3 linked regions of the Mus musculus genome follow. The protein of the gene in region 1 interacts with the protein of each later gene in a pairwise test. Links are inferred from orthologs where the notes say so. Each region holds a gene or a part of one and is shown on either strand. Other genes may lie near its edges. The genes, in order: Vps52, Usp2 and Ppp1r18.

The links.
Region 2: the proteins of Vps52 (region 1) and Usp2 interact in binary tests that used the Homo sapiens proteins (3 or more experiments, as listed by UniProt). The two-hybrid records come from large-scale screens. The link is inferred for Mus musculus from reciprocal best matches to the Homo sapiens genes VPS52 and USP2.
Region 3: the proteins of Vps52 (region 1) and Ppp1r18 interact in binary tests that used the Homo sapiens proteins (3 or more experiments, as listed by UniProt). The two-hybrid records come from large-scale screens. The link is inferred for Mus musculus from reciprocal best matches to the Homo sapiens genes VPS52 and PPP1R18.

What each region holds. Positions count from the first base shown.
Region 1 is NC_000083.6:33,956,494-33,963,984, forward strand, and holds part of Vps52 (vacuolar protein sorting-associated protein 52 homolog), read left to right. Parts: exon of another isoform or gene 1-191; intron 192-436; coding exon 437-521; intron 522-1,355; coding exon 1,356-1,408; intron 1,409-1,523; coding exon 1,524-1,599; intron 1,600-1,796; coding exon 1,797-1,864; intron 1,865-2,107; coding exon 2,108-2,283; intron 2,284-2,731; coding exon 2,732-2,882; intron 2,883-3,169; exon of another isoform or gene 3,170-3,279; intron 3,280-3,456; exon of another isoform or gene 3,457-3,501; coding exon 3,502-3,602; intron 3,603-3,693; coding exon 3,694-3,826; intron 3,827-3,953; coding exon 3,954-4,011; intron 4,012-4,617; coding exon 4,618-4,751; intron 4,752-5,119; coding exon 5,120-5,275; intron 5,276-5,573; coding exon 5,574-5,692; intron 5,693-5,922; exon of another isoform or gene 5,923-5,929; coding exon 5,930-6,053; coding exon of another isoform or gene 6,054-6,068; intron 6,069-6,232; coding exon 6,233-6,328; intron 6,329-6,416; coding exon 6,417-6,524; intron 6,525-6,684; coding exon 6,685-6,750; intron 6,751-7,491. UniProt on the Homo sapiens protein: Acts as a component of the GARP complex that is involved in retrograde transport from early and late endosomes to the trans-Golgi network (TGN).
Region 2 is NC_000075.6:44,071,693-44,079,183, reverse strand, and holds part of Usp2 (ubiquitin carboxyl-terminal hydrolase 2), read right to left. Parts: exon of another isoform or gene 6,887-7,491; intron 5,943-6,886; exon of another isoform or gene 5,841-5,942; intron 3,819-5,840; 5' UTR 3,778-3,818; coding exon 2,962-3,777; intron 218-2,961; coding exon of another isoform or gene 23-217; exon of another isoform or gene 1-22. UniProt on the Homo sapiens protein: Hydrolase that deubiquitinates polyubiquitinated target proteins such as MDM2, MDM4 and CCND1. Isoform 1 and isoform 4 possess both ubiquitin-specific peptidase and isopeptidase activities.
Region 3 is NC_000083.6:35,863,165-35,870,755, reverse strand, and holds the start of Ppp1r18 (phostensin), read right to left. Parts: upstream 4,142-7,591; 5' UTR 3,527-4,141; coding exon of another isoform or gene 3,522-3,526; coding exon 1,971-3,521; intron 1-1,970. Other genes in the region: Nrm (nurim), read right to left, coding at 5,964-6,245, 6,468-6,644, 7,121-7,317.

The sequences.
Region 1 (7,491 bases):
CTTCCCACACCTTTACAGTGCAAACGCTGTTAGGACATACCTTATAGGTGGTCGTTAGGATTAGCCGAATGAGCATGTTAAATGGTGTACCAGACACAGGGGTAAACACTATGTAAGCTGGCGATTTTAGCCTCTGGAATTCCCTCAGGGATCACCTGGAATAGCTGGAAACTGAGGTCCTAAATTCAAAGGCAAGTTTGACTAGTCCTAGTTTTTTCTCATTTGAACAACTCCAGCAACTCCATGAATTGCCTGATATTCTCAGTAGCCCAAGATTGTAGATTTGAACGCATCAGAATCTTTGACCCACTTACTCCGGCACCCCCCACCCCCCAAAGCACCCCCCACCTCACTTGGAGGATTAAGGATACCCGATTATGTTTTGTTTCCAACATCTCTTTCTGTATCCCACATTCATTAACCTGTCCCTCTTCAGGGGGGGGGTTCTGGACTCCAAGAACCCCTACAACTTGGAGAGTTGGACATCACCTCTGATGAATTCATCTTGGATGAAGTGGATGGTAAGTGCTGACATGGGGTGGGAGCAAAGTAGACCCCTTTATTCTTTAGAAATATATTACATGACCCCAGTAGATTACCCTCTATGGTTTCTTTCTTTTGTATGTGTGTGTGTTTTTATTTTTAATTTATTTTTATTTTTTTGGTTTTTTTTCGAGACAGGGTTTCTCTGTAGCTTTGGCTGTCCTGGAACTCACTCTGTAGACCAGGCTGGCCTCGGACTCAGAAATCCGCCTGCCTCTGCCTCCCAAGTGCTGGGATTAAAGGCGTGCACCACCACCCCCCGGCTGGCTTTTTTCTTAATGTACAGATAAAGTTTAATCCATGAGTTGAGAAGGCTTAACTTCTAATTTAGGAATAGTAAGAAATGAACAGTACGAGTCGAATAGTCACAGCAATACACTATAATAAAATCGCAGCATCACTTTTTCCCCTTTGGGACTATTGTTGAGTAAGAATACAGCCTGGTTGAACATACATACGCAGACAGCTAAGACTGAGTGACTGGGAGGCAGGCACAGCACACACCATAGATTAACGGAGCAAAGATGTTTCAGATCCAAGCCCAGGCGAGAGGTTCTCTAGCTTCTCAGAATGCCACACATTTTAGATCTTACAAGCCACACTTTGGAAATCCCCTTTTAATATTTTCCATCTGTGGTCGAGTAGACCATGAGGAGCAGAAACAGCAGGAAGTCCCACCGGGCAAAGCAGCTGTGCCTATAACTGGAGAGGGTGGGGGCTGGGAGGGAAGGGGAGATTGGTGTGGTGTGCGTGTGCCCAGTGTGGGCAGAGGGAGGTCTGGCAGGGGACACTAAATATAAGCTTGTTTCCAGTTCACATCCAGGCAAACCTGGAGGATGAGTTAGTGAAGGAAGCTCTCAAAACGGTGAGGCTCTCCACTGGGTTGATCTCCCCACCCTCCCTTCCTTTTGGGGTCCCCTCAGCTTAGTGGCTCCCCTCTAGCCAGTCACGGAGTCTGTACTGGTTGTCCTTCCCCCCAGGGTGTGGATCTTCGACACTATTCAAAGCAGGTGGAGCTGGAGCTGCAGCAGATTGAGCAGAAGTCAATCCGGGACTGTATCCTCCAGCCTCACAGGCACAGGGCCAAGATGGCTGCTATTGGCATGGGCTCTTGGGGGCCTGTGATGCAGGTAGCCCTCAAGGGGATGTCTTCTCTCTCAGGCTTCTGTCACTTTGGGGAGGACCTGGGGGCAGGTACTGCAGATCGGCAGAGCTCTGTGTTCAGTGTGAAGCCCTTGACTTTTGTGGGTCAGATATCCAAGAGAGTGAAAACATAGCGTCTCTGCACAATCAGATCACGGCCTGTGACGCCGTCCTGGAGGTGGGTGGCCCTCACCTGTTGCCCCAAATCTGACTTAATTGCCTCTTCCTCCTCTTCCTCCTCCTCCTCCTCCTCTCCTTCTTCTTCTATCAGTATTTTTTGTCCCCCTTGGACAAGTGATGATCTCCCATCCTCCTGGGTTGCTGGGTACCAGGGATTTGCACAGAGACTTGGTTGACACACCTGTCCTTGTTCCCCGACAACCCGGAGTCATGCCCACAATGTTTCCTGCCCTCCCCACAGCGCATGGAACAGATGCTGGGAGCTTTTCAGAGCGATCTCAGCTCCATCAGCTCTGAGATCCGAACCCTGCAGGAGCAGTCGGGGGCCATGAACATCCGACTTCGTAACCGACAGGCAGTTCGGGGGAAACTTGGGGAACTTGTGGATGGGCTGGTGGTGCCCTCTGCTCTGGTCACGTGAGTCACTGGTTTGAAAGGTAGTAATGTCCAAAGCAGGTGGTTGGGCTGGGTTACCTAAACAATTTACAACATAGGTCTCTAGGCTGGGGTTGTCAGGTACCATCTAGAAACCAGGTGTGCCGGCTCATGCCCGTAATTATATGCTTGGGAGGCTGAGACAGGAGGATTGCTGCAAGTAGACTAGCCTGGGCTATAGAGTGAGATCTTGTAATGGATGGATTAAGAACTTCGAACCCTGCTTTACCCTCCATAGGATAGGACACAGGTTAAGAGTGCTCCAAGGCTACATGAGGAAGTGTGGCTCAGGAGATGAAAACTTTGTACATATTATCTTGAAGGCATGAGACCACAGAGAAAGGCAGAAATGACATGTGAGGTGTGAGGGGGCTCTCTCAGGGCTGTGGGGTACCCCGTCTAACCACACCCATTCTCCCGTGCTCCTCAGAGCAATTCTGGAAGCTCCAGTGACCGAGCCCAGGTTCCTGGAGCAGCTACAGGAGCTGGATGCCAAGGCAGCCGCGGTGAGAGAGCAGGAGGCTATGGGCACCGCTGCCTGTGCTGACGTCAGAGGCGTGCTGGACCGGCTCCGGGTCAAGGTGGGGAGTGGTCTGCTCAGAATCAGCTTTCCAGGAGCTTCACACTGCTTCCCGCTGTGCAGAGCGTGGTTGGCCCTCCAGATCCCCTGAAAATCTAAAGAAGGTTGAGATGTGGCTCAGTTGGCAGAGCGGTTGCTTAGCATGCATGCAGCCCCAGGTTCCATCCCCAGTGCCATATACATTGGCATGATGGCACAAGTCTGTTGTCCTAGCACTTGGGAGGTGAAAGGAGAAACGAGAGTTTGGGGCCAGTACAGATACATGAGACCCTGCCTCAAAACCAAGCAGTGTTCACCTTGGCAGCATAGACACTAAAATTAGAACAATACAGAGAAGATTAGCATGGTCCCTGTGCAAGTAAGAATCATATTTACAAAATGAAACAACCCAGAAAAATAAGGCCGGGTGTGGTGGTGCAGGATTTTAACCCCAGCACTCAGGAGGCAGAGGCAGGCAGACCTCTGTGAGTCCCAGGCCAGCAAGGGCTGCACAGAGAGACCCTGTTTCCATAACCAGAACACAACCGAAGTATTTGTTCCCTTTGCTTTATCTTCACCCCATTCCTGCCGTACAGTGAAAGCCCACCCCGCCTCATGGCCCGTCTGTTCCCCACGCCTAGGCAGTGACGAAGATCCGGGAGTTTATTCTCCAGAAGATCTACTCCTTCAGAAAGCCCATGACCAACTACCAGATCCCCCAGGCGGCCCTGCTGAAGTACAGGTGGGTGCGGGGTGGGCGCGGGGTGGCCTGTGCCCTCTCAACACTGCAGCGTGGGCATCCAGGGAGTCTGACTTGCCCTGGTCCTTCCAAGGTTTTTCTATCAGTTCCTGCTGGGTAATGAGCGTGCTACAGCCAAGGAGATCAGGGATGAGTACGTAGAGACGCTGAGCAAGATCTACCTGTCCTACTACCGATCCTATGTGGGGCGGCTCATGAAAGTGCAGGTGAGCAAGGCTGGAGACATGGAGGAGGATGGGGAGGAGGAGGAGGGGAAGGGGGAGGAGGGGGAGGGATGAAGTCCTCACCTGCTGCTGGTGGAGAGTGATGGTTCAGCTCTGTTATTTTCTCTAGTACGAGGAAGTTGCTGAGAAAGACGACCTAATGGGTGTTGAAGACACAGCAAAGAAAGATATCCTGGAGAGGAGAGCCCCATGAGCTGGGCTCATGGCTGGGACCATGGCGGGGACATCTGGCTCCAGCCTGCAGGCTGTGTTTCGTTTCGTTTCGTTGCTTTGCTTTGCTTTTCTTCCTTTCTTTATTTCTTTTCTTTTCTTTTTTTAAGAAGATTTATTTGCTTTATGTATGTGAGTACACTGTAGCTGTCTTCAGACACAGCAGAAGAGGCCATTAGATCCCATTACAGATGGTTGTGAGCCATCATGTGGTTGCTGGGAATTGAACTCAGGACCTCTGGAAGAGCAGTCAGTGCTCTTAATCCCTGAGCCATCTCTCCAGCCCGGGGCTGTGTTTCTTACCCATTCTGTGGTTCTCAACCTTTGAGGACATGAAATCGAGAGCTTTTTCTCTAAGAAGCACTCGCCGCTCTGACAGATTTTCACATTTATTTCTGAGGGTTTGTAAAACCTTGACAGCCATTAAGGGTGTCAGGCCAAGCAAGGCTCAGGTTCTGGAAAGGGCTATCCGGGCCATATTTAGTTTCCTGGGACTCGGGTCTTGGCTTGTTGGGCCTGGTGCAGTTGGTCTCATTGGTTTCCCTGACTCCAAAGCTGTTCACGCTTCTTCTCGAAGCCGTCCCTCCGAAGCAGGAACACCATCTTTACCCTTGGCACTCGTGGTACTGTCATCTCACCGGCCGAGCTGGAGGCCCCCATCCTAGTGCCCCATACTGCCCAACGTGGAGAGCAGAGGGTATGGTGAGGCAACCCCTCCATGGCCAGGATCAGTTCCCTGAGTGTTAGTTTGGTGTGTGGGGGGGGGCCGGTGTCCCTGGCCTGCTGTGATGCGGGAAGTTAGGAGCCATGGACTCAGAGGCGGGCAGAGGGAGACTGGCTGGGGCGTGACTGTTGGGAGGCAACAGTTGAAGTGAATGTGGGGGTAGAAGTCAGTGGGGAGGGCTTTTCTTGTGACCTGTGCCCCATCTTCAGTGCCTGTTCAGGGTGCTCCTCCCTGCCTGGAGGAGGGTGTGTGATCTTGTGAGCTCTGATTACTAAGCTGTGCTGAGTCTCCACATCCACGGGTTAGTGAGAGACCCATCGTGTCTCTCTCTGTCTCGGTAGTATCCATTCGAAGCGCTCTTCCGCAGCCAGCACTATGCCCTCCTCGACAATTCTTGCCGTGAATATCTTTTCATCTGTGAATTTTTCATCGTGTCTGGCCCGGCTGCACATGACCTGTTCCACGCCGTCATGGGCCGCACGCTCTCCATGACGCTGGTGAGCTCCCAAATTCTGAGCCTGTCCACAGGCAGACAGCAACTCCTGAGGAATGAGTGTTCTCTAAGCCTTGGCCCTGGAGCCCCCATCCCAAGCTCAGCCCCAGCTTCTGCTCAGCCCCAGCTTCTGCTGTGGGGAACTTACATAAGTGTGGCTGTGAGCAGGTCAGGCCGCTTGTGGTACCTGTGGACAGGGAAGAAGCTGGTCTCCCTGGTCTGTGCCTTGTCCCCAAAGAAATGTACATCTGTCTGCCTACAGCCACTCGAACAACAAGCTAACATTCATTTGTCTGCCACAGAAACACCTGGAGTCCTACCTGGCTGACTGCTACGATGCCATTGCTGTTTTTCTCTGTATCCACATTGTTCTCCGGTTCCGCAACATTGCAGCGAAGAGGGACGTCCCTGCCCTGGACAGGTCACTGAGCTCTGGTCCTTGGTGTCTGGATGTGGTCAGCTTCTTATGTTACGAAAACAGTTCCATCCTGACTCTGGGCCCTCACCTGATGCCCTTCACCCTTATTCCCATTCATGTGTCCCAGGGGCAGCATTGGCATCAGGCACACCCACTCACTGTCACCCTGAAGCGTGCTGTACTCCCCTGGGCAGACTGCACCCCCAGCCAGCTGACCTTTGATTCTGATTAAGCCTGCAGGTACTGGGAGCAGGTGCTTGCCTTGCTGTGGCCTCGGTTTGAGCTGATCCTGGAGATGAATGTCCAGAGTGTCCGCAGCACTGACCCCCAGCGCCTTGGGGGACTGGACACTCGGCCCCACTATGTAAGGGCGAGCAAGGTTAATAAGGGGGTCTGTGGTCACACTGAGTGGTGGGTGGGTACTGCCGAAGGAGTCAACTTAGGCAGACAACATCTGTTCTGACTGGTGACAGAACTTGCAGGGGTATCTGAGGGTTGTATCTCCCAGTCAGGCAGGTGTGAGCCTTCCCTTCTTGCTCCCAGATCACACGCCGCTATGCTGAGTTCTCCTCTGCACTTGTCAGCATCAACCAGACGATCCCCAATGAACGCACGCTGCAGCTCCTGGGACAGCTCCAGGTATAGCTAGGCAGGACATATTTGCCAGCAGAGGGACGGGACCTGTGTCCTTGCTTTCTAACCTGCTGCTTTCATTTGGCTTGTGCAGGTGGAGGTGGAGAATTTTGTCCTCCGAGTGGCTGCAGAGTTCTCCTCCAGGAAGGAGCAGCTTGTGTTTCTGATCAACAACTATGACATGATGCTCGGGGTGCTGATGGTAATGCTGCTCCTCCCACGGGGGTCCCTACAGCTTGTGAGCTCTGCCTGAGCTCAGCGCTTTACCCCTGGATGCTGGCAGTGTCCACATCATGGAAAGAAGGGGAAGTGATGGCAACAGTGAAGGTTCCCAAGCTCCTGACTCCTCTTGTCTTCCTTAGGAGCGGGCTGCTGATGACAGCAAAGAGGTGGAAAGTTTCCAGCAGCTGCTCAATGCTCGGACACAGGTAGGGCCTGGGTGCAGCAGGAAGACTGCGATGCTGTTGGACTGACCTCTGTGTGCAGTCATGAGTACAACCCACTGCCTTGTTGCTAGTCTATTTCATTTAACTTTTTCAAGGTACTAATAGTTTAGAAGCAACATAGAACTATACCTATTTATGTATGCATGTGTGTGTACTATAGCTACATGTATGTATGCATGTGTGTGCATGTACTATAGCCCTGTGTGTATGTGTGTGTGTGTGCACTATAGCCCTGTGTGTATGTGTGTGCATGCACTATAGCCCTGTGTGTATGTGTGTGTGCACTATAGCCTTTTGTGTATGTGTGTGCATCCACTATAGCCCTGTGTGTATGTGTGCGCACTATAGCCCTGTATATGTGTGTGTGTGTGTGTGTACTATAGCCCTGTGTATATGTGTGTGTGCACTATAGCCTTGTGTGTATGTGTGTGTGTGCACTATAGCCCTGAGTGTATGTGCACTATAGCCCTGTGTGTATGTGTGTGTGTGCATGCACTATAGCCCTGTGTGTATGTGTGTGTGTGCACTATACCTCTGTGTGTATGTTTGTGTGTGTGTGCATGTATTATAGCCCTGTGTGTATGTGTGTGTGTGCATGCACTATAGCCCTGTGTGTATGTGTGTGTGTGCACTATAGCTCTGTGTGTATGTGTGTGTGGGTGCATGCACTATAGCCCTGTGTGTATGTGTGTGTGTGTGCATGCACTGTAGCCCTGTGTGTAT
Region 2 (7,491 bases), on another chromosome or scaffold:
ACAGAGCAGCTGGGGGGGTGGATCATAGGAGGATTAGGAGGGATTGTAGGGTTAAAGCACAGGCCTGGCAGTGCTCAGTGGGAACAGCTTGTCCTTCCATAGGCCCCAGGAACAGAAGAGGTGGGGCGAGGGGGAACTGACGGGTTGGTGCTCTCTGGCTCTCTGGCTCTAGGCGCTCTGCAGGGCTGAGCCACCTGGGCTGGCTTGCAAATCCTCCCTAGAAGAGCAAAACACCTTGGTGGCTCCTGGCTCATCGCCCTGCATTTTCAGGGAAAGTGGGGCCTCAGGGGGTTGACCCTCAGAGCCCCAGGGCCGAGTTGCACCTTCACCGACTTCATGCCGGTGGTGCCTCCATTACACATGCTCAATGGAGCCTGTGAAGCTCCAAGCTCAGGTTGGCCGTTACTGTCTTATTGGCTGGAGATGCCTCCACCTTCATTACTTGGTTTGAGCCTTGTGGCAGTCCTGTGAGGAGGGCAGGGCAGGTGCCATCGTTCACTTTATAGAGGAGGAAATCCGTCCGAGCTGATAGGTATCCAAGGTTAAAAGGTAAGACTGTGCCTCTCAGAGGTCACGGGCAGTCTGTCTCGGCCTCAGGTGACCTCTCCCTTCCCTACCTCGGAAGACACACACACCCAGGCCTGCCTCCTGGTGTAACCAAGTAGGCATGGATTTCCTGAAGTGAACTCAAGGCAGAGGCTGGCCTGCACCTCTCTCGTCTCCTAAAGCCAGGAGCAAAGATGACCGACCTTTACTGAGTCCCTACTATGTGTCAGGCTCTTTCACAGTAATTTATGAAGTAGAAACTATGAGTGCTTTCATTTTACAGAAGAGCAAACAGACTTAGGAGTTAAGGAAACTGCCCGAGAAAGCCAGGTGAATGGCACAGAGTTCTCAGTTCCCCAGAGGTGTGCATGGTACAGAGTTCAGAGCTAGAAAACAGCACTGTGAGAAGAAGCCACACTTTTTTTTTTAAAGAAGCCATCCTGGGAGAACAGAACTTATGGAGAAGCTTGTGATGGGGCAGATTTCAAGGCACCCAAAAAGTTGCTCTCACTTCCTTAGGATACAATCAACCCCTGGAAGCGAGCATAAGAGGGCCAAGGTGAAGTGATGGTCTCGGGGCAGTGAGACCGTAGAGGTCTCTCCTGGTTGGTGGTACTGTACTGAGCAGAGCTCAGGATGAAATGCTAGCTTGGCTTTAGGGCACTCCTGACCACCTAACAGTTCTGTGCCTTGCTTCTAGGCCAGAGGGATGCAGGTTCTGGCGACTGAGTTTGCTCAGGGTATTTGCTACCTCGTTGAGATCCTTTCTGAAAACAACTCTCTCCGGCCCTGGGCTGGGGTAGGGCCAGGTGTCCCCAGGAGAAATGAAGGGAAAGGGGACAGCAGACTTCAGGAAGAGCAGTAAGTAGCTGGCTGTGAGGAAGATGACAGATAACAGCAGCTGCTGGGAGTCTGGAGTGTATTGCAGCCTTTGGCCCAGACAACCTGAAAAGCCTGTAACAGGCAGATCTTAAGGCACTGCCCTGAGAGCGTTTGCTCCAGAGGGTCTGGGGGACTGTTAAGCCCATAGGTGATTCTACTGCCACCGAATGCCTGCGGACCCCACAGAGAAGCATGCGTGTACAAGAAGACTTCCTTTCTTCCGAGCAAAGGAAGAGCCGGCAGAGGCTCCCTCCACTGAGAGGAGCCTTTTCATTGCCCATCACCTCTATGAACAACTCTGGACGTGTCGAGAATGGACCCTACAGCGTCCTGTGCCTGTAGCCAACCCTGATGGCTAGAGTCTGAATGTCCTGTGAGACACAGCTTTTGTATCTTCCATGGTACTTCCCAGGTGGCCCAAAACAGTTCAAGTGATACTATCAAAGTTGTCCCAAGGCCCTTTGTCATGACACACTTTAGCCTATGACCCAGCTATGATCCCTAGTCCTGAACAAGCTCTCTAAAGCACTATTTCATGCTATGGCATAGCTTGCTTGCCTTTACAAAAGACATATGCTCTATAAGGAGGGGTACATAAGGAAACAGAGAACACAGCATCCAATCCTCTTACCCACACGCTTGTCTACCTATGTGTTCTTCTGCCCATCAATCCACCACCCCACCCCCACCCCAGTCTAATCACCCATCCATCCATCCATGCAATCAGCAGGTCAGCTGAGCCCCGAGTTGCCAGAGGCACAGGGGAAGGAGTAGAGATACAATCACTTTAAATCTCCAAGAGCTCGCCACCTATTGGACACACGGATAACTACAGGAGAGGAGAGGAGTCACTGCCCCAGGGAGGCGTGTTCAGGGATTAGATGTGAGGGAGACCATGCCAGCCCTTGGTTAATCTCCAACAGAGCCTCTCCCCTCATTCCAGCCCAGGCAAGCTGGAGCACTGAGGTATTAGATCATCTCTATCTCTGGACAAAAGACTCTACACTATTTTCTCCAAAGATACAAACCTATTCTCCAGATACCCTGAACTTAAGCTGCCGGCATCAGGGGAAGAGTCCTGCTACTCCTAATATCTCATGCCTGGACAGGAAGAGAACCATCCAGAGCAGGGATCGGGGTGGGAGGATGGCTCTCTCTCCACAGGTAACATGGTGATCACACTTCTACTGTGGCATCCAGCCCTGGATGGACCAGAGCCCACAGGGGAAGACCCTGACATTTTGGATGGGAGATCAGAGAATGAGAAGAACAGCAGACAGGGGGGGCTGAACCTCCTAGAGCACCTTTGGATCATTCCCACGTGTGTAGGTCTCTGAAGCACGGGCCAGCCCCTTCCCCATGGCTCTGAGCCATGGAGCCACCAAGTCATGCTTTGATCATCGTGGAAGATGATCTCTGCTGCTTGTCCGCCACCAATCGTCAGTCAGGTTGGGAGTTCTGTTCCTAGCCTGGCTCTTTGTAACACGGGGCTGTCTCCCCAGTCCCTCACTGGATCCCCAAGAGTAAACTCACCATGGTGTCTCGCCCTGGAGAACTGGAGCGGCTGGGCCCAGAGGCCTGGCCCTTGCTCTTCTCCCACAGTGTGTAACGGCCACTTGGTCGGTAGGTGGGACTGAGGACTTCAGGGACTCGGGAGGGAGGAGGGGCTTGCGTGAGCACCTGTGGTGCACTGCCCTTTCGACCATAGTTCTCCAGATAGTCTGTTAGGTACTCAGAACGGCTGGCTGCTTGGTAGAGGCCCTGCAGGGCACAGAGCTCCTTACGCGTGCGGGCCAGCATGGGGCTGCGACCCAGGTTTCCAGGGTCTATCCTAAAGCCCTCTGAGGTCCGGTAGCCATCTGAAGTCCGGTAGCCATCTGAAGTCCGGAGGCTGGAGAAATCCCGGGCCAGGTCTGATTGGCTGTTCGATTTCTTCTGGCTCAGGGTCACCCCCTGGTCTCTGGCATTCATGGGCAGGTAGCTGAGGGAGTTGCTGGAAACTCCATAAGAAAATCCACTGCCTCCGTTGAGTCCACTGCCCGAGGGCCTTTCATTGCCACGGGTCTGGCTCTCTGACCGCTTACTACTCCCAATGATGTCAGATCTCAGCAGGGGGCGGCCCCTGTCACAGTCCAGAATGGAGGAGGGGCCGTAGGTGCGGGGCCGTGGGAGGAAGCTGGTGGGGGAGACCGGCTTGAAACCAAGTTTTTCCTTCTCCAGGAAGGAGGCGGCCAGGTTGGCCCCATAGGAAGAAGGGGTGTAGGTGCCATAGCCCGGTTTGGCATAGGGGGCATCTGTGTAGCGGGACGATTCTGTATAGCGCTTCAGGGTGGAGGAGAGCTGGGACATCCTTCAGGGTGGTACTCAGTGGGTACTGGGAGCCTCATGGGCTGAAAGACAAGGAAAGCAGCTGTCAAGGGCTCTGCGAAGCACCAGGCCCATCCTGTGCTCATTCTTTATGCCAGCTGGGCCAGGACCTTAGGGCTCAACAGGGACCACTTGGGGCCTGCCTATAATAGGCTGGCTAGCTCCAGAGAAACACACATGCAAACAGGTATGTATATGGGTGGGTGTACCCATGTACCCACAAGAACAACCAGCAAAAGGCACAGCCTCTCCACTTCCCCAGCCCTCTACATCAGAGACTCCAGCTGAATCTCATGTGGGTCTTCTTGTAAGTCTCGGCAGGAACTTTTAGAGTTGGCAAGGGCTGGAGACTGGGGGATCCTACCACCCTCAGTGCATAGACTGGGGGACAATGAGCACTTTGAGTTATGAATGCTTCTCTGCCTTTGGCAAGCAGTTCTACCTTCAGGTATAAAATGCTCCCTCCACCCCCCGGAAATGTCTGGAAGACTGTGAGGAAGAGGAGGGTCTCAGGAAAGGAAGTGATGGCGGGAGATGGGAGGGAATGTCTAGCAGAAGGGCTGGACCCTGGTCTCCAGACCTCCCTTGGTACTCTTCCTTGGACACAGGTACCTGCTTGGTCACACAGGGGACCACACCAGGAACGCTGGTGAGGTAGAACCTGTCTATTCTCTTCCTGGAGTTTGGCTTTGTCTTCCCAGTGGAGCTTAGGAACCTACGGCCTCCTAGGAGGTTTCAGGACCCACGCAGGGGCCAAACTGATCCTGGAGTTACTTGACTTGTGCAAGAGGCGCCCCCTAGAGTCAAGATCCTGTACTGTAGACTGCAGACACTCCCAGACTTCAGGGTTTTGTAGATTAATCCCTGAATGTGGAGGTTGGATAGTCCTAAAGGCCATGTATTGATTAACCTATTGTACAGATACGGGCATGATGCCTGCTTGTCCAAGTTCACCTGCTCTGGAGAGTCAGGATTGGAACCCAGGTCGTGGCCCCGCACCCTTTCCCACCAGCCTTGCTTCTACCATTCCTCAGCAGAGTTGGGCAGCTCTGAAGACTCCTAGAACCCCTCCACCATGTGGCAAGAGGGGAGAAGGTGCTTTGGAGAAAGGGGCACAGAGGACCAGGCTCCTTTCTTCAGGGACTCTTAAGTGGGGGTGGGGTGGGGTGGGGCTCAGGGTGGGGTGGAGGTCTGGAGACCTATCCAGGAATCTCAAGAGTAGCATACGATTTAAAAAATCTCTCTCGGGCTGGAGAGATGGCTAAGCGGTTAAGAGCACTGACTGTTCTTCCAGAGGTCCTGAGTTCAATTCCCAGCAACCACATGGTGGCTGACAGCATCTGTAATGGGATCTGATGCCCTCTTCTGGTGTGTCTGAAGACAATGACAGTGTACTCATAAATAAAATAAATCTTAAAAAAATAAAATAAAAATCTCTCTCCTCCTCCATGTGTGCGTGTGCATGTGTGTGTGAACACCACACACACACACACACACACACACACACACACACACACACGACACAGACATGAAAGTCAGAGGATAACTGGTAGGAGTCAGCTCTATCTTTCCACCATGCATGTTTGGGGGTTTGCCTGTTGGTTAGGTTAGGTTTGGTGGCAAGTGATTTTACTTGCTGAGCCATCTCACTGGCCCCAGGGCTGGTTTTGACTCTCTCTGAGACAGACCAGTTGAGCAGTTACACTAGCCGTTGAACCTCTTTGAGCCCCGATTTCCTCCCTGTAAAGTTGCCTAATAACATCAGGATTCCTATCTCGCAGGGTTGTTGTGAGGACTGAGATAATAACACGGGAAAGCGCTTAACAATGACCGGCTATTATCTTCTCTCCTAGCCAGCCCAGCCAGGCCGCCCAGCTCCTCCTTTGTAATCTATAATAATGGCAGGGCTGGCCATTCCCTGGCCTGGCCGGCTAGACCTCAGCCCAGGCGCCAGGCTTCCCCCTGCCACCCCCAGTGAGTTAAGTGGGTAGTGGGTAGACATCTAGCCATTCAACAGACACTGGCTCATGCAGCCCACAGCTTACCTAGGCCAGCAGCCCAGCTCACCAGGGCAGGGAGGATGTGTGCCAAGCCCCAAACGCTGAGAGCTTGGCAGAAGGTTGTAGAAACTCAAGCCACTGAAGGCTCTGGAGAGAGGTAGAGGTGGAAGGTGAGGAGGTGGCCACAGAACGGAGTTCCTTAACTGTGCCAGAGACCTCCAGTAGTTTTCAGTCCCGGCTGGCACCAGAAAGGCTGTCCATCTGACTGTCTTCCTTGCCTGGCTCAGGGGATCCCAATACCTTGTGTGGACACTTTTTGTCCACTCTGCCCCCTTCTCCCATGGAACTTCCAGTCTGCTCTGGGAGATGGTAACTGTGTGAGGGTCTGAAGTACGGATAGTGGGAAATCACGGGGAGGTGGGGGTGGGAAACAGAGGCCTAGGGCTGGGGGCAGGGGACCTGTCCTGTTCTCTTTCACTTTGGAGAACTCCATCAATAATGCAAAGTCAAAGAAACTTCAGGCCTTGGGAGCTGGGCTCTGGGACACCCGGCAGCCAATCAGATTGGCCCCCACCCTCAGCATATGAGCTCATGGCTCCTCCTCCCCAGCTCTCCCTCCCTTCTCCCAGACTGAGGCTCCTAGGGAATTGGTATTCTGTGGGCACTGCCTCAAGACTGTGACCTCTCTCAGCCCAGAGGATGACGCACAAGTGCCCAGGCCAAACGAGATACAGCGACAGGGACAGACAGCACTGGCACTTTTAAGGCCTGACCCTGGAGCCCCATCTTCTAGTTCAGAGAACCCTGAGGAGGACTCCCCAATCCCTGCTCTCTTGTCTGCTCCAATCTGGCAGGCAACTGCCAAGTCTCTCCTGTCCAGATAGTTCCACCAGTTGCTCGATCCCAGCCCCTGGAAACTGCCAGCTCTGATGTCTACCTCACAGCTCCCAGGGTAGGAGAAGGTTTCTTTTTTGGAGCTGAAACTTTGCACACATCTCTCCCCTCCACTAAGCCCTACTTTTGTCGGAGAAAAGTCTCAGCGCCTCAAAGGTGAGAAGACAGTTTACTACGTTAGATTCTCTTGGCGTTACCTGGTCCTGCTGTCCCTGGAGGCTACTGAATGCACCATGGGCAGGAGCTTCGGTTGGGGAATCTGCCTGTGGCCTTGCTGCGCAAGACAGGGACAGGAAGGGCAGCACTCACATGGCTTTGAGTCTCCCTGTTGCCACAGGAACGGCTGGGACTGAATGGCTCTTTCATGGGGCAGTGGGAGGCCAGCCTATTGGCTGGGATCCCCCACACTCCTCCCTGTCCACTGTGGGGCCCCTGCTGCCTGGCTCCTCTCATTGTTTTTCCAGAACTGGCAAGTTCAGGCATGTGGCTGCTGGCTGCACCTCCCCGGGTGCCTGCCACCTTGGACAACGGCGGTAGTTCCTACCCATGCTCCCTTCTTCATGCCATTTTTACAGAGATGTTGATGTCTCTCTTCTTGCCGAGAGTCTCCATCATTTTGCAAAGTTTCCCTAAGAAACTGACAATGGTGGCATAGCTTTGCACAGATGCACTTGGCTTCCTGTGGGGACACCGGAGCCATGGAGCTGTGGCTCCTAGCCAACAGGTCCCACACACCTACAGAGCAGACATAGAACTCACTGAGGACTTTAAATGCAGCTTTTGACTTTGTCTGCCGGACAGC
Region 3 (7,591 bases), about 1.9 Mb from region 1:
GAGGATGCTGGGCAAAAGCACCAGCTACAGCACCCCCCCCCCCCAAAGGACTGGGGTGGTGTCTGTCATGATGGCAGGTTTGATAGAAGTAGCCAGAAAAGGAACTACTTAGGGAAGGTGAGGGATGGTGGTAAGGGTTGGAATAGAGCCAGCGCAAGGCACAGTAATCCTTGCTGAGGCTGCACAGACAGAGAACTGAGCGGTGAGGATGGAGACTCAGAGAGGAAGAGGTAAATGGTCAGGTCTAGGGAACTGTGCAGCCTCTTCCCCACCCCCACCCCCACCCCAGTGTAGCTGCTTCCTGATTCTCTCACCACATCCTGAGTAGTTCTTTCGGGGCCTGGGCCCAGTGTTCCCACTCAGTGCTACCAGCCTTCCGGGCCCCCACCCCAGGCTTCCTGTTTGGAAGGTCTGCTTCCGCCCCTCCTACTGGATGACCTAGGTACGGTCACCAGCACAGGTCCTGCTCTGTACTAGGCTCCTTGGCTTCCCCCAGATGGTTCCTAGGTAGGAGCCACAAAGCCTTGTGTCTCCCTCTGCTCAGTCTCCAAAGCCACAGCCAGCCTCAGTAGGAAGTGACTTTTCAGAACACCTCACCCTAAGAGAATTTCCTGTCCTCTGTCCTTTCTAGCTGCCCAGCCCTGAGAAGAGAGAGCCAATAACCCAGACAGAGGCAGGGGAAGAAAAGTCACGTTCAAGAATAGGATAATGAAAATGGACACTTTGTACATGAATTAAAAACAACAAAAAGATGAACTGGGAGGAACCAAGTGACTCATGAGCTTAGCCCTGATCTTTGGTCCTCATGGTGGCCTATTGACACTGAACACACACACAAACACATGAAAGAAGGGTGAGACAGGCTTGCCAGGCCCTGGGAAGATTTGTGTTGTGTGGAGGGCCTTCTGGTCTGAGGCGTCTGACTGTAGCACTGTCTCTCCTCAGAGATTTTTTGACTTAGGAAAACTATTGGTACATATCAGGAAGGTGCTGGGCCGGAGCCAAAGGGAATAGTTACCCTATCCAGTGCTTCCTTGCATGTCTGCATTTCAGCCTAACCTCTGACCCTCTGCTGGCCTCAGCCCCACCCCACCCCACCCCGCCCCCAACTCTCACAGTGCCTGAACCAGTCGCAGCTCTGCAGCTCTCAGCTCAGCGCAAAAGAACTTCTCTCTGTTTCTACCCCAGGGGAGGGAGAGGCCAGGGTAGCAGGAACAGAGGGGGAAAAAACCCCCGAGGCTGAGACAGTTCTGTGGGGGGAGGGGAAGCCCAGGGAGGAAAGATGGGGGAAGGGACTGGGATATTTTGGAAGAGAAGGCTTTTCTTGTCCCTAGAGAGAAGGAAGCACTGTCTAACATTTGCCCAGTTTGGGGGGAGGGGTAGGCAACCCTGAAGTCACCCACTTCAAATGGCCTCTTCTTGCCAGGAGTGGGGGCCGACTTGGGGTCTAAACTCCTTCTTCCTTCAGCCAGCTCTGTTCCATCACCCCAACCCACCCCCCACCTCTGTTCTGGAATGTCCTCCATTAGCTTTGACCCCCTCCTCCTTCTGGGGCTGAGACCTTCATTCCAACTTCCCTGAACTTCTCCGTCAACCTTCTCTGTCCCCCTGGGTTATTTTCACACGCCTTCACAGGTACGTTATCTTTTCTCTCTTACCAGAGGGTTAACTGGGTCAAAAGCCCAGAGGAAGAAAAGGAGAGGGGACCGAGAGAGTGGGGAAAGAAGAAACAGGCAGGGCACACCCGAAAACGACACACCCCAACACAGCAGTTGAGTGCAGAACAGAATCCTTGGGGCTCCAAAATGAATGGCAAAGGAAGGCTACCCAGAGGAAGGGTGTGTGCAGGGGGAGGAAGGGAGTCGGCAGGAATAAAAAGAATAGAAGACAAGAACACACACATATAAAAAAGCCATCCAGTCAGAACTAGAAAGAGACTTCTACCCAGTCAGGCATGGTAGCTCTCTTACCTGTTTGTGATGTCTTTCAGGGGACCCCTTGACAAGGCAGCTGCGGCTGAGACGGAGGTAGCCCCCCAGCACCAAGATCTCCTCTGCAGTTGGGTACCGCTTCTTCCCAGATCCAGACCCTGCAGCATCAGCTGTAGCAGGGTTGACTGGAGGGGCTGGGCTGGCAGGGGGCGCACACCTCCGTGGGTTGACAGTGAAGGTGTGTCCACTGCGGCGGGGGGCCCCCACCCCCGGTCCTGGTTTCACCCCATAGAACAGACGGCTCATGAGGGGATCCCCAGAGGGTTGGGGGGCAGTTGGGGCCGAGGGTGGGGGAGACAGAGGGGCTGGTGTTGGGGGCCGGGGTTCTGCCGCTTCCTCTTCCTGCTGTCTGGAGCCTTCCGTCCCAGAGTGCTCTGGTGGGAGGGGGGAGGGCCCAGAGCAGAGGTTCTGCTGGGCTCTCAGAGGCCTGCTCTGAGCCTCCGCCTCCTCCTTCTCAGCCTCCTCTTCAGCCTCCATACCAGAAGGTCCTGGGTGCTTCTCTGAAGATGCTGGAGGATCTGGCTTCTGAGTTTGTGTATCTATGTCCCAGGTCGTCCGTTCTCGAGCCTTCCCAGAGTTTAGGGTCCATTTCCAGCTTTCAGTGGGTCTCTGCTCAGCAGTCTCCACTTCGCTCGAGGTGATGTCTTGAACCTCCTTTGTCACCGGAACAATCCCTGAACTCAATTTCTCTTCCTCTCTCCCACACCCTTCCAAGTAGTCTTTCCTCTCTTCACCGGACTTCAGCCTCCACTCTGTGGCCTCCAGCTGTATCAAGCTCTGTTTCTGGGGTTCTCTTGAGTCAAGATTCCATTTATGGACATCTGTCGGGCTGGCCTTCTGGTCACCAGGCTCCCCAGGGCTCAGAATGCTTTCCAACACCTCCTTTCTCTTGGGACTGTCATCTCCAGAACCCGCTAATCTCAGACTCTCCTCTGGAGTTTCTCCAGGGCTCAGCCTCCATTTCTGAGCCTCTGCTGGTCTGGAACTCAGGTCTCTGGCCTCTGCTGGGCTCTGCCTCCAGTCTCGAAGAGACCTCGAACTTGACTCTTGGGCTCCCCCTATCACCAGCCTCCTATCTCTGGACTCCCGGGGACTTAGCCTCTCTTCTCTGGACTCTCTTCCCTTAGGACTCTGATCTCTTAAATTACCAGGACTTGATCTCCTTTCTAGAACCTCCAGAGGCCCAGCCTTCCTATCACCAAGCACCTCGTTTCTCTGCTGCTGCTGCTGTTGCTGCTGCCGCTGTCGCTCCTGTTGGATGAATCGATTCTGATGTACTGGTCCAATAGCCTCCAAAAGGACAGCAGATTCATCTGGGTCTGGAGGTCCAGCCTCAGCATTCCCAGGCACAGGGCTCCCCTCTCCAGGAGGCAGGCCCAACTTGGCTCTGCGTCGTTCCAGGATTCCCCTCTTCCAGGCTGGCATCTGGGACAAGCGATCCCGTTCTGCTTTCTCGCGGCCACGAACCGCTGCCTCCTCCTGCCTCCGCCGGGCTAGCAACTGTAGCTTCCAATCTGGGATAGCGGTCATGGTCACTGGAAGTGAAGGAGAGAGTATTGGGGGACAGGAACAGGAAGGGTAAGCTTCAGAGGAGCCCGGAGACTGAGAATGGGGGTTGGGGGAGGAAGTGATGCGGGAAGGGACGAAGAAGGGCAGGAGGGGACAGTGGAATTAAGAATGAAGATAGAGGAAGGCCGTGAAAGGAAGGACAGCAAAAGAGTCAGGAACTGAAAAACTGAAGAGAAAAGCTGGGTGCCAAGTTGGGGGTGGGGATAGTGGGAGAGGAAGAGTCGAGATTCCGGGCAGAGGCAGAGCTAGATTGGGGTTTGTGGGCACCAGACCGTCCCTAAGATATAAGAAAGGGGAGAGAGGAAAAGCAGGAGAGAGAGAGGAGCCGGAGGAGCCGGGGCTGAGAAGTGAGCGGATTCAGTCAAGACTGCCTCCCCCGGTACGCAGGGGGAGATAAACGGGAAGAACAGGGAACCAGACGGCGAAGGGCGAGGAGATCGGGCAGGAGGTGAGGAGGTGAGGACAGATGTAGAGGGCAGAGGTCCAGGGTAGAAGGGGAGACCGGGAAACAGGCAAGGGCGCCGGCGCCTCTTCGCACGGGGCCCCCGCAGCTCCCGGCTGCCTTCCCGGCTGCGCTCGGCCCCGCCCCTCAGTCCGGCCCCTACCCCACTGTCTTTCCCGCCCCCGAGGCGGGTCAGGGGAAATACCCTCCTTGGGGACTTTTGGTACCCGAGCAAGTGTGCAGCCCCGTACATTCCCAGAACCCTGGCGTCCAGCCGCGTTCAGTCCCTACAATCTCGCCGGCCTCCCCACCGGATACGCTCCAGAACTCGGGCGCGACGAGGACCCACATCACGCCTCTGCTGTCTTCCCCAACCAGGGAGCCGGCTCTCAGGGGACCTTGACCCAAAGGGTTGTGCACCAGAGGGAACTGAAGGGACAATCTATGCAAAAGGGGAGACACTCCAGGGAAGATCTGGAGCCAGGAGGCACTTCTCTTAAAGTGGGAGCCACATAGTCAACTTACACGCCTCGGGGTCCCTAGGAGGAGGTGCAGTGGAGTCAGGCGTCGGGAGAGAGGAAGAGGAGGAGAGAGGCGAAGGGAGATCCGGAGGGAGGGAGGGAAACAGAGGAGGAGGGAAGAGGGAGCCTAAGAGGAGGGACGGAGACGCAGACTGGGGGCCAGGCGGGGGCGGCGACCGCTTTGTCTACGGACAATGGGGCGAGGGAAGGGGGCGCAGGGAGGAGCCCGGCGAAGGGCGGGGCTTCGCTGCCCTCCTTCCCGCGTGGACTCTGGTGGGACTTCTCTCTTGCTGTGGCTATCCCCTCGCTCTCCGTTGTCTGTCTCCAGAGACCTTCACCCGCTTCCTTCCTTGCAGCCCCGAAGAAGCGGGGTGTCCAGACCCACTTCTCCAGCTGGCCGACCCGGGGCGGCGGCCCGTGACTCAGGCCCCCTGAGGGACATGGGGAGGAAGCGGCAGCTGCTTGGAGTCGGACCCGCCCTTCCCATCTCTCGCCGCTCCTCCCCACGCTTTTTCTTTCCCTAGCCAGTCTTTGTTACCGTGGCAGAGAAGGCGGCTGCCAGGCCCTGGGGTCTGAGGCAAAATGGCTTTGGGAGTTCGCTCTCCTCCCAGAGAGTTATTCTGTCTCCCGTGGGTTCCCTGATTTATACGCGGAGAAACTAATATTTGGAGGGAACAGGACTGGACGACTGAGAGATGGGGCGGGTCCATGGGGTGTGGCCCCAGCCTTGCGATCGTTTTAGAGTGCTCGGCTATCACCGCAAAAACTAGGTCTCATCTTCCTTCCCACAATTGGTTCTGCGGCTTGAGAGTCATGGACAGACAAGTGGATATCATATGTATAAAATTTTATTTTTTCTGCAGCGCATATCCTTTGGGAGAGCAGGGAGCCCTGAGTCAACCCGAGTTAAAATCGGGAGACGTCGCCTTAGGAGACCACACAGAGCTGTAGGGAAAGACCTAAGGAGAAACTAAGGCAGGAGTGGGGAGGAAGCACAGCCGCGGTACAAAAGAGCCACTACTTATAAACTTTCAGATAGGCCCTGACATAGCTCCCTGAGGTGGAAACATGGAAGGGAATCCCTGAGGTGCAGAGCCAATAACAGTGCCAGGGGAGTGAGTGCTCCCCAGTGTGAGCTGAGGTGCTCCCCTGTGTGAACTGACCCAGTGTGTGTGGAGGTCATGCTCTAAGAGAAAAGGAGACTCATGAGTTTTGTAACCATTCTTGGCTGGTGAGAGGCGGATCTTGAAGACCAGTGGAGGAAACTTTGAATAAGAATTCAGGATCAAGATTCAGGAACTGAGTTCTCCAGCAGGAGAGGGCACAGCCCCTTCAGGGCATGACTTCCAACCTCCTCCGCGGTCTGAAGCAAACTCCGTCTGGATACTAAGGGATTTGATTTTGAGGTGGGAAGTAAATTCAGGGCTTAGAACTAGCTCCTCACTCTGCTTCCCCATCCTGAGGTCTGGAGAGAAGGTGGAGTTTTCTTTGTAGCTGAGACCGAAGGTAGCGGAGATCTTGCTGGTCAAGCCCATGAGCCAAGCCCAGGTAGAGGGTAAAGAGAAGAGCCAGGAGGAGCCGATCGGTGCCCAAGGTGGGGACCACCCACAGCACAGTCAGCAGCTCCACACACACTGGGTGTCGAAGGTGGGAAAAGAGTCTCAGAGCCCGAGGAGACTTCAGGGACAGGGGCTCGCCCAGTCCCAGCACATGGTAATAAACCTGGAAGAGAGAACATCACGGAACTCAAAGTCAAGCCCTCTATCTCAGTTGCCTCCGTCCTCTTCCCAGCATCCACCCTCAAAGCCCAGGAGACCTACAGTCACTCTCCTTTAAGGCAAGCTGGAGGAAAACAGAGGCACTACAAAGCCGAGAGAAGTCAGAAGAGTTCAGGAGGGAGAGACTTGCAGACGCAGATCTCACGTAGGGGTGTGGGATTCTCACCTGCTTGAGGCCCATCAGTTCAGCGTAGTCAAAGACCAGAAGGATGCTAAAGATGAGGAGCCAGGAAACAACGTGGAGCACAAAGCAGAGGAGAGGTACCCAGGTGGCCCATGGTTCAGCCCGAGCCTCCCATAACACTGGGCCTCTGGGTGTAGTCTCCCAGTACCGCATCACCAACTGGGGAAAGATGAGAGACTGGGCACACCAGTGGTCTCCCTTGCCCCACAATAACCTACGAGGACTCTTTCCGACAGGTATAAACAGTAAATATTTACCATGTGGAGGGTTCTGGGAGGGGTACCAAGGACATGAAGATGGCCCATCCCTACACAGGATTTTTTGGAGACTGGACGGGATGGGGGCTGGTGGATAATAATCACTCAACTAGCCTATGCCAAACATCCATGAGAATACCAACTGGAAGACAAGTGCTATTGTGAGGCCTAGGGAGGTTGTAGGATAAGAACCCGGGAGGAATTCAGAGCTGAAGCAATAAAACATGAACAATGTTGCAAAGGTGAGACTCTCTTAGTGTGCTGGGGAATGTCAAATATATACAGCTTTGCTGATAGGAGAATATGCCCAGGAGGGATGGAGGCTGAGCTCTGCATGTTCTTTCGGTTCCACCAGTCTCCCTTGGCCAGGCCTCATACCTGCAAGGCCAGGGCTGTGCACGCCACATAGAGCGACCTCTGAAGGACGCCAAAGTACCGGGATGTCCACGCCTTCACTGCCTCAGTCGCCATAAGGCTGTGCTGTACCACAAACAGTAGCAGCAGACATAGATCCCAAGCCAAGGAGGCAAGAATGCTCCGGTCCTGCAGGGCAGCCAACCACCCGTGGCGGGCATCTGAGGGAGTTGGGAAGGAAAGGGACAAAAGGCCAGTTAAGATGGCTAGGACATTCCCCTAACCACATCTTTGGAAGCTCTATGTCAAGCCCCTGATGCTTTCAAGATCTTGTCAAGGCCATTCCCAGTTCACTCTGCTGTTCCTTCAATCTTCCATCTTCTCTAGGCCTCCTCCTGGGGAAGGTTTTTAGGTAGGGTCACCTTTAAAAACAAGGTGGGAGGGCTGGGGAGATGGCTCAGTCTATGTAGTGTTGTATAAGCCCGAGGACCTGAA